Linked DNA regions of Rattus norvegicus. The protein of the gene in region 1 interacts with the protein of each later gene in a pairwise test. Links are inferred from orthologs where the notes say so. Each region holds a gene or a part of one and is shown on either strand. Other genes may lie near its edges. The genes, in order: Zbtb43 and Psmd3.

Region 1 (3,811 bases):
TGGGGACCTGAGCTCCCAGCCTCATACTTTGTCTCTCTCTTTTTTTTTTTTTTTTTTTTTTTTTTTTTTTTTGGGTTCTTTTTTTTCCGGAGCTGGGGACCGAACCCAGGGCCTTGCGCTTCCTAGGTAAGCGCTCTACCACTGAGCTAAATCCCTAACCCCCTGTGTGGAACTCTTATGCAGTGTCCACCAGATGTTTCTGGTACCAGGGACAGTAGCAACTCCTAGTAGGTCAATAAGTCTTTCTGTAGCATAGAAACAACCAGATAGAAAACCTGCCTTTGTCTTCTCAGAAATCCTTAAGGAGCTAACGTACATGATCCCAAGAGCGACTCAGCCGCTCAGCCGCAGTGAGCGTTTCCTAGTGCTAAAAGAGCAAATCTGTCATTTTCCTGACTTGACTGTAGCACCATCTCCCTCAGTTCTTCCCGGACTCAAGTCCAGTGGTCACCTATTGTGTCTGTACATGTGCACACGTGCGAGCTTGTATGTGGAAGCCAGGAGTCATCCTTCTGTCCTCTGCTCTTTTTTTGAACTTGGAGCTAACTAGATTGTCTAGACTAGTTAGCCAAGAGCTGGGGTGAGGGAATCCTCCTGTCTTCACCCTGAAGCATTAGGGATTGCAGCCATTAGCTACCATACCCACCCTTTTACCGGCCCTGGGGAACCAAGCACTTGTCCCATACTTATGGGGCTGTGACCTAGTTCATTCCTGTCAAAGAACCTTTGCATGGGCATTTCTGTCTTCCTACAATTCAGATCTTCTCTCTCTTTTTCCTTTTCTTTTGGAGTATACATGAGGGTGGAGCTTAGAGAACTGTACGTGCTAAGCATACACTCTACCCCCAGCCACACCCCACCCTCCCACAATCCTGTTGTTCCTTCCTCTAGTTTTGGTAAATGTGGGAGTCCAGGGGTTACGTTGAGTTACAAGATTCGTGCTTGTTTTAGTTAGAAATGGTTTGCTTTGCTCAGAGGACTTGTACGCTTGGAGATACGTCCTCAGTAGATTCTGGCTCCTTGCCCACAGTCAGGGTAAAATGGAGAGTTGCTATGTGGGTAGGGGGTGGCTCTTACTTTTGGGACCCTCAGCTCCTACAGCTCCTACAGTCTCAGGGGATGGACGCCCATGGATGAGTGCTCAGAGGCAAAGGGACTTGCTGGAACTTGGGAACTTGCTTTGGTGTTTTTAGTACTGGGGGGAGGCTGGAGTTGGTATTAACTTTTCTTTCTCTTGCAGCACTAAACAAGATTGGTGATGAAATGGAGCCTGGAACAAACTCTTTTCAAGTAGAGTTTCCAGATTTTTCCAGCACCATTCTGCAGAAACTAAACCAGCAGCGCCAGCAAGGACAGTTATGTGACGTCTCCATTGTTGTCCAAGGCCACATTTTCCAGGCACACAAAGCCGTTCTTGCTGCCAGTTCACCCTACTTTTGTGACCAAGTACTCCTGAAAAACAGTAGGAGAATTGTTTTGCCTGATGTGATGAACCCAAGAGTGTTTGAGAACATTCTTTTATTTAGTTACACAGGACGCCTTGTAATGCCTGCTCCAGAAATTGTTAGTTACTTAACAGCAGCCAGCTTCCTCCAGATGTGGCATGTGGTGGACAAGTGCACCGAGGTTCTGGAGGGAAACCCCACAGTCTTGTGTCAGAAGCTAAACCATGGCAGTGACCACCAGTCCCCCAGCAGCAGTAACTACAATGGCCTGGCCGAGAGCTTTGAGCTGGGCTCTGGGGGCCACACTGATTTCCCCAAAGCCCAGGAGCTGAGGGATGGCGAAAACGAAGAGGAGAGCACCAAAGACGAGCTGTCATCTCAGGTCACCGAGCACGAGTATCTGCCCAGTAACTCGTCCACGGAGCATGACCGCCTGAGCACCGAGATGGCCAGCCAGGACGGGGAGGAGGGGACCAACGACAGCACAGAGTTCCACTACACCCGGCCTCTGTATAGCAAGCCCAGCATCATGCCTCACAGGCGCTGGATCCATGTGAAGCCTGAGCGCCTGGAACAGCCTTGGGATGGCATGGATGTGCACGCAGCCTACGATGAGCACCAGGTCTCCGAGTCCGTCAACACCATGCAGACAGATCACTCGGCCCAGCCTTCGGGAGCGGAGGAGGAGTTCCAGATTGTGGAGAAGAAAGTGGAAGTAGAGTTCGACGAGCATGCAGAGGGCAGTAACTACGACGAGCAGGTGGACTTCTACGGCTCCTCCATGGAGGAGTTCTCTGGAGAAAAGTTGGGGGGCGGTCTAATTGGACACAAACAGGAGACTGCCCTTGCAGCAGGCTACAGTGAGAACATTGAGATGGTGATGGGGATAAAAGAAGAGGCGTCCCACTTAGGATTCTCAGCCACCGACAAGCTGTATCCTTGTCAGTGTGGGAAAAGTTTCACGCACAAAAGTCAGCGAGATCGACACATGAGCATGCACCTCGGTCTGCGCCCGTATGGCTGCAGTGTCTGTGGTAAGAAATTCAAAATGAAGCACCATCTCGTGGGCCACATGAAAATTCATACCGGCATAAAGCCCTACGAGTGTAATATCTGTGCAAAGAGATTTATGTGGAGGGACAGTTTCCACAGGCATGTGACTTCTTGTACCAAGTCCTATGAAGCTGCAAAGGCTGGGCAGAATACGACTGAGGCTAACTAAAAATAGGGTCTGGCCCTTGAGTGGCATGCACAAAAATAAACTATGGTAATTAATGCAAATCTGGGCACAGATGATGCGTGCCACTTGCTATTATGAGAGAGGCTTAAAAAAAAAGGAAGATATTTCTGAAAGACCAGCTCTAAGTAGGCCAATTAAAAGATTTAATTTCTCAAATCTGTATGTTCCCATCCTGGCCTAGAATGGATGATGGGGATAAGTTCACCCAGTGCCCAGCTGGCAAGACAGCCCTTCCAGCCAGCAGTGGTTAAGGCAGGGGACTGGATGGCAGACTCTCACACCAGTCCTGCCCAGGTGGCAGCGGCCGGCTGTCACCATTGTCCCGGGTCTTGTTACATTTGTTCTCCTGGTAGCTTCAGGGCTTCTGGGCTTTGCTTTGGTAGCTGCGTCACTGGATGCTGCTCCCCTCAAGGCTACAGCGAGGACTCCTGGGCTGAGCTACGAGCAGAGCTCTGTTTGTTCTATTTTCGTATGTTCTAAAGGTTCTAGTTAAAGCCATGGTGACATTAGACGGGGCTTCTGAGTCCGAATCAGGAGACAGTGTCACCGTGCTGCAGGCTCTGGAGAAGGCACAGTTTTATGTTTGTGTTTGGTTAAGTCTTCAGGTGCCAGAGACAGAGCTTTCTAGTTGGTGTGTTGTCCTAAGCTTCCCTCAGTTAATGGCAGGAGATGACCGGTTTGCAGTGACACACGACAGTGCTGGCTAGTAGTGGCCTGTGGCTCCCTGCCTTAGATCACGGTGCTTCCCAACAAGGCCAGCCAGGGACCACAGCTCATGAGACTAAGCCAGAATGTGTGGCTAAGAGTTCCCTGTGAGCAAGACACTTATAACAGAAGGCTTGAGAAAAGAATCTTAAAAACACTGGCGTGGGGAGTGCTGTTGTAGAGGGTGGGCTAGGCAGTATTGTCAGCTTTGTGAGAGCTGGAACATGGCTTCCAAGGGGATGGGAGCCTACATTAAGCAACATCATCTAGAGACTCTGTTCCCCAGTCACAGAGAAAGCCGCGTTTACAAGTCCCAATAGTTTATACACACATGTGCAGGCGCACACACACCCACACTCACACTTCACCACCACCATCTCCTCACTCCCGCAAGGACGAGGCTGCCCTTGAGGTCTTTTCT
Region 2 (4,439 bases), on another chromosome or scaffold:
TCAAATCCCAGCATCCACAACCATCTGTAATGGGATCTGATAGCCTCTTCTGGTGTGTCTGAAAACAGCTACAGTGTACTTATATATAATAAATAAATCCTTTTTTTTAAAGAAGCTTATGTTTAAAAAACAAAACAAAGCAGTTATGGGGAAGGGAGAATGAGAACACACACTTTAGCACGCTTGTGAGGTCAGAGAAAACCATGTGGGACTCAGGTCTCTCCTTCTACTATGGGATCCACGGATCAAACTTGTGTCTTCATACTTGGCAGCAAGCACCTTTACTCCAACCTTTAGTCATCTCACCACTCAACTTTTTTTTTTTTGAGACAGAGTCTTTTTATGTAGTTCTGTCTGTCCTGGAACTTGCTAGGTAGACCAGGCTGACCTTGAACTCAGAGATCTGCCTCCTTAGTGCTGAGATTAAAGTTGTGTGGCCCTCCATTACATTCCTGAGCTGGTGTTTGTCTGCTTGCTTGCTTGCTTGCTTGCTTGCTTGCTTGCTTGCTTGCTTGCTTGATTTTTCGAGAAACAGTTTCCCTGTGTATCCCTGTTTGTCCTGGAACTCACTCTGTAAACCAGGTTGAGCCTCAAACTCACAGAAACCCACCTGTCTCTGCTTCCTGAGTGCTGGGATAAAAGGTGTGCACCATCACGCTGGGCCTGTTGGGTGTTTCAACAGTCCTATATGTACTGGCCCTGAGCAGTATACAACGTGGACTCCTCTTATTACATTTGACTAATTCTACACAAATACACACTACCCCACACTCCCAAGCTACAGAGATGGTATGTCTTAAATTCAAAACTAGCCAAAAAATTTGACAAGGAAGTTCGGATGCCCTAGGGGTTGAGCTCAGTTTATCGTAAGCCCAACAGCCTAACTACACCTCCACAGGCTACTTTTCTTTCTGGTGCTGGAAGCATCTGGCGGGCGTTGAGAGCACGAGCCTGGCGGATTTCATTGGGGACCTGACCCGTGAAAACTGGGAGAGTTTGACAGGGGGGAGACCGCCCGGCAACTCATGACGTCATCCTCATCTGCGCTCTGATAGGTCCTACCTACTTACGTTTTAGCGTCTGTTGTAACCCAGTTTGAAGTCTAAAGGGACCTCTCGCGGACATTCGAAGATATGCACTCGAGAGGAAGATAAAATCACCACTCTCAAGGCCCACAAATTCCTGTAGGCTCCTTCCACTTCCTAGAAGATCCGTCTTCATCGATTCCTGCAGACTCCTCCCACTTCCTAGAAGATCCGCCTTCATCTTGCACCTCGGCTGTTGATTTCTTTTCCCTTCCTGGACTCGGCCATCTGCTTGTCCTACCTGGCATTTCCCAGAAGCCCCAGCGCCGGGAAGGAGTTTGCAGCTGCTCGGTCATCGTGCGGCCCGACGCGAGCCCGCGCTGGTGTGCAGGCCCGGCTCTGTGCCTGGTCTCTGGTGTGAGGGTTTACGCGAGGCCCCTGCTTCGGTCCCCGGACTAGGCCGCAACCCCGGGCTCCATGAAGCAGGAGGGCTCGGCGCGGCGCCGAGGCGCCGACAAGGCAAAGCCGCCGCCGGGAGGGGAACAAGAACCGCCGCCGCCGGCCCCCCAGGATGTGGAGATGAAAGAGGAGGCAGCAGCTGGGAGCGGCTCCGCGGGGGAAGGAGACGGCAAGGCAGCTGCGACCGAGCACTCCCAGCGAGAGTTGGACACTGTCACCTTAGAAGGTACGGGATCCCAGGTCGGGGTCGTGCCGCGATCACTGGTGACAGCGGCCACGGTGATTCGACTTCTCCCTGGGACCTCTGCGTAACCTCCACCTACCTCGGTTCCGTGTGTTTGGTCAGTGGGGCTGGGGTCAGAAGTGCCCGTTCAACCACACTGACTCTCTGGACCCCAGCCCATGACCGAACCAGTTCTCCAGTCTGCGGACTGTTCTCCTCACACTCCCTCGCCTCATCTGGGGTTGCATTTTAGTTTCGCTGAGTTTTTTCTTCAGTCCTTCCCACTGATCTACTCCATCCGACCGATTCTAGCGCCTGTTATTGATATGTAGAAATCAGCATCTGTATTTGTGTCTAAAGAAGCCAGGGTAACATTACATTGGCCCCTTAGCTTAAGAGTTAAAAAAAACAGAAAAGGTTCTGTAGCTCTAGCCTCCTTTAGTAAACTCCCTCGGAGAGCCATTTCTACCTTGTATTCCTTACTTCTGTAATTGAAGCATCTAAACTGTCCCGGTGCACCTTTTCTCTCTCTCAAAGTTCTTACCCCTCCTTTCCTAAAGAGTTCAAGCACATATACACTTTTACTTCTGAATCAACCTCCCCACCCCTTTGTTTTTTAGTTTATAATGCTTACCTGTGACCCCAACTACTATAAACCAACACCATCCTCATCTTCTTTCTTCCAGAGGCCCATTCTCAGGTTCCTATTGTCCCCTTGTCCCGTTTAAGTTGCTGTTTTGCTTTTTCCACTTGGTATATCTTGTCCATGTTTGAATTGGGTGCGGTGAGACGTCGGGAGTGAGGGGGTCTTCTGTAGCTCGTTCTTCTCTCTCTGTCTGCCTTTCTGTGTCTGTCTCCTTCTTTCAACTGCATGAGAAACTACTTTAAAACATGGAGATAGGCCATGTTATGCCCTGAGTGGTACTTTTGAAGATGTAGGTATGGACCGCATCAACTCCATTCTAAAGTTGGCAACAAGGTCTGTATACAGTAAAGGTCTTCGTACCTGAAATAAAAGTTGCCAGTGGCAAGAGATGTCACTCGGCAGCGCCTGAGTGTGTGTGCATGTGGTAAACATTTCATCGTGGTTTGTATTCACTGTAGAAATTTTGGAACAGGTGAGAATTTTAAAATAACAGGGAGAAAATTTCGACTAGGGTTAACATGTTTCCCTGTGTACTTTCAAACTGTTCCATAATTGAAATCACTCAAGTACATAGTTTGGATCAGGGTATTAGTATGTAAAGATATTGTCTTTTTTTTTGTCTTCATTTAATACGTCCATAAACATAGGGGTCAATTTATTCAAGAGGCATTTGTTGACTACTTAGTATAGTGATGGAGATTTTAAACTCCAGAATCTGTTACCTTGCTTGTGCAGGTGAGTTAATCGCATTCGCTGTTTCCTTGGGTTATTGTGAACATGGTATAAATGCATGGTGAGCCCTCCACACATAGTCGCTGTAACTGTAATAATTACTATTACCCATTGTTAAGTGGGAAATGTAACCAAGAGACGGTCAGTTAATTGCATTCTCTTAATTGCTGCACATTTAAAGTTTTTTTTAAGTAGTTTTGGAGTCATCACTATTCCAAGGTTTTTAATCTACTTTTGTAATTACTTAAATGTAGCTTCCAGGAATTTATATACCTAAGTCAAAAAGGGTAAACACATCTAAATTTAAATTTGTGTGTATACGAGTGTGAGTATTTTAGCTTCGTGGTTGTAAACGTGTGTAGTGTCCACAAAGGCCAGAAGAGGTCATCTGATCCTCTGGAACTGTAGTTAGGGACAGGTGTGAGCCACCATGTGGGTGCTGGGAGTGGGACCTCTGCACAGAGCAGCTAGTGCTCTTAACCACTGAGCCATCTCCGCAGGCCCCAGTTCTAAAGTCTTTTATGTTGTCCTAAAATCTGATCTACAGTATAAAGGTTATTTTCCCTACTGTTTATTATTAGCAATAAATATTGCTAATTTACTAGTATAAAATGTTTCCGTTTCAGATCTTTGAATGCTACTGAAGTACATTTCTGTCTCTCAGCGCTTTGCTGTCCCTGGTTATGCGCACGCCCACTTTTGTTTTGAAGTTATAGCAGTAATTTCTCTCACCCAGTTACATCAATTCTTTGTGAAATGAGATGTGAATCTGGTCATATTGTTCCACGTTTCTTTTCAGAAGTCTTTTTTGTAGTTACATTTCCAGTGTGTCTGTCTCTGAGATTTCTCCATTATTTACAAAGTCCATGTTTTAAGCTCTAGTGACTCTCCCCGTGTTTCTTCTACTTTGCCTCTCAACTTTTCTAGGCCTTTCTGCTATCCTCTACCCTGTCCCCTGCCCAGCCAGCTTTCTCCTTGTTTGCTGGTTATGTCTGAAAATTGGTGTGCCGCATCCCTAAGTATTGGTTAGCCCTATTGGGCTGGGAGGAGTAAATGCCCAAGCTACCCCTTGGTAAGACACTCTGTGGAAATGTTCCTCAGAGTGCTGGAGAAACCTGAGGAATTGCAGGTAACATCTTTTTCTCTCTGGTCCTCTGCAGACATCAAAGAGCATGTGAGACAGCTAGAGAAGGCTGTTTCCGGCAAGGAGCCTCGGTTCGTGCTGAGGGCACTGCGGATGCTGCCATCCACGTCACGACGCCTCAACCACTATGTTCTGTATAAGGCCGTGCATGGCTTCTTCACCTCCAATAACGCCACTCGAGATTTCTTGCTACCCTTCCTAGAAGAAGTG

What was found.
Region 2: the proteins of Zbtb43 (region 1) and Psmd3 interact in binary tests that used the Homo sapiens proteins (3 or more experiments, as listed by UniProt). The two-hybrid records come from large-scale screens. The link is inferred for Rattus norvegicus from reciprocal best matches to the Homo sapiens genes ZBTB43 and PSMD3.

Annotation. Positions count from the first base shown.
Region 1 is NC_086021.1:37,144,475-37,148,285, reverse strand, and holds part of Zbtb43 (zinc finger and BTB domain-containing protein 43), read left to right. Parts: intron 1-1,240; coding exon 1,241-2,667; 3' UTR 2,668-3,811. UniProt on the Homo sapiens protein: May be involved in transcriptional regulation.
Region 2 is NC_086028.1:84,138,580-84,143,018, forward strand, and holds the start of Psmd3 (26S proteasome non-ATPase regulatory subunit 3), read left to right. Parts: upstream 1-1,358; 5' UTR 1,359-1,502; coding exon 1,503-1,710; intron 1,711-4,245; coding exon 4,246-4,436; intron 4,437-4,439.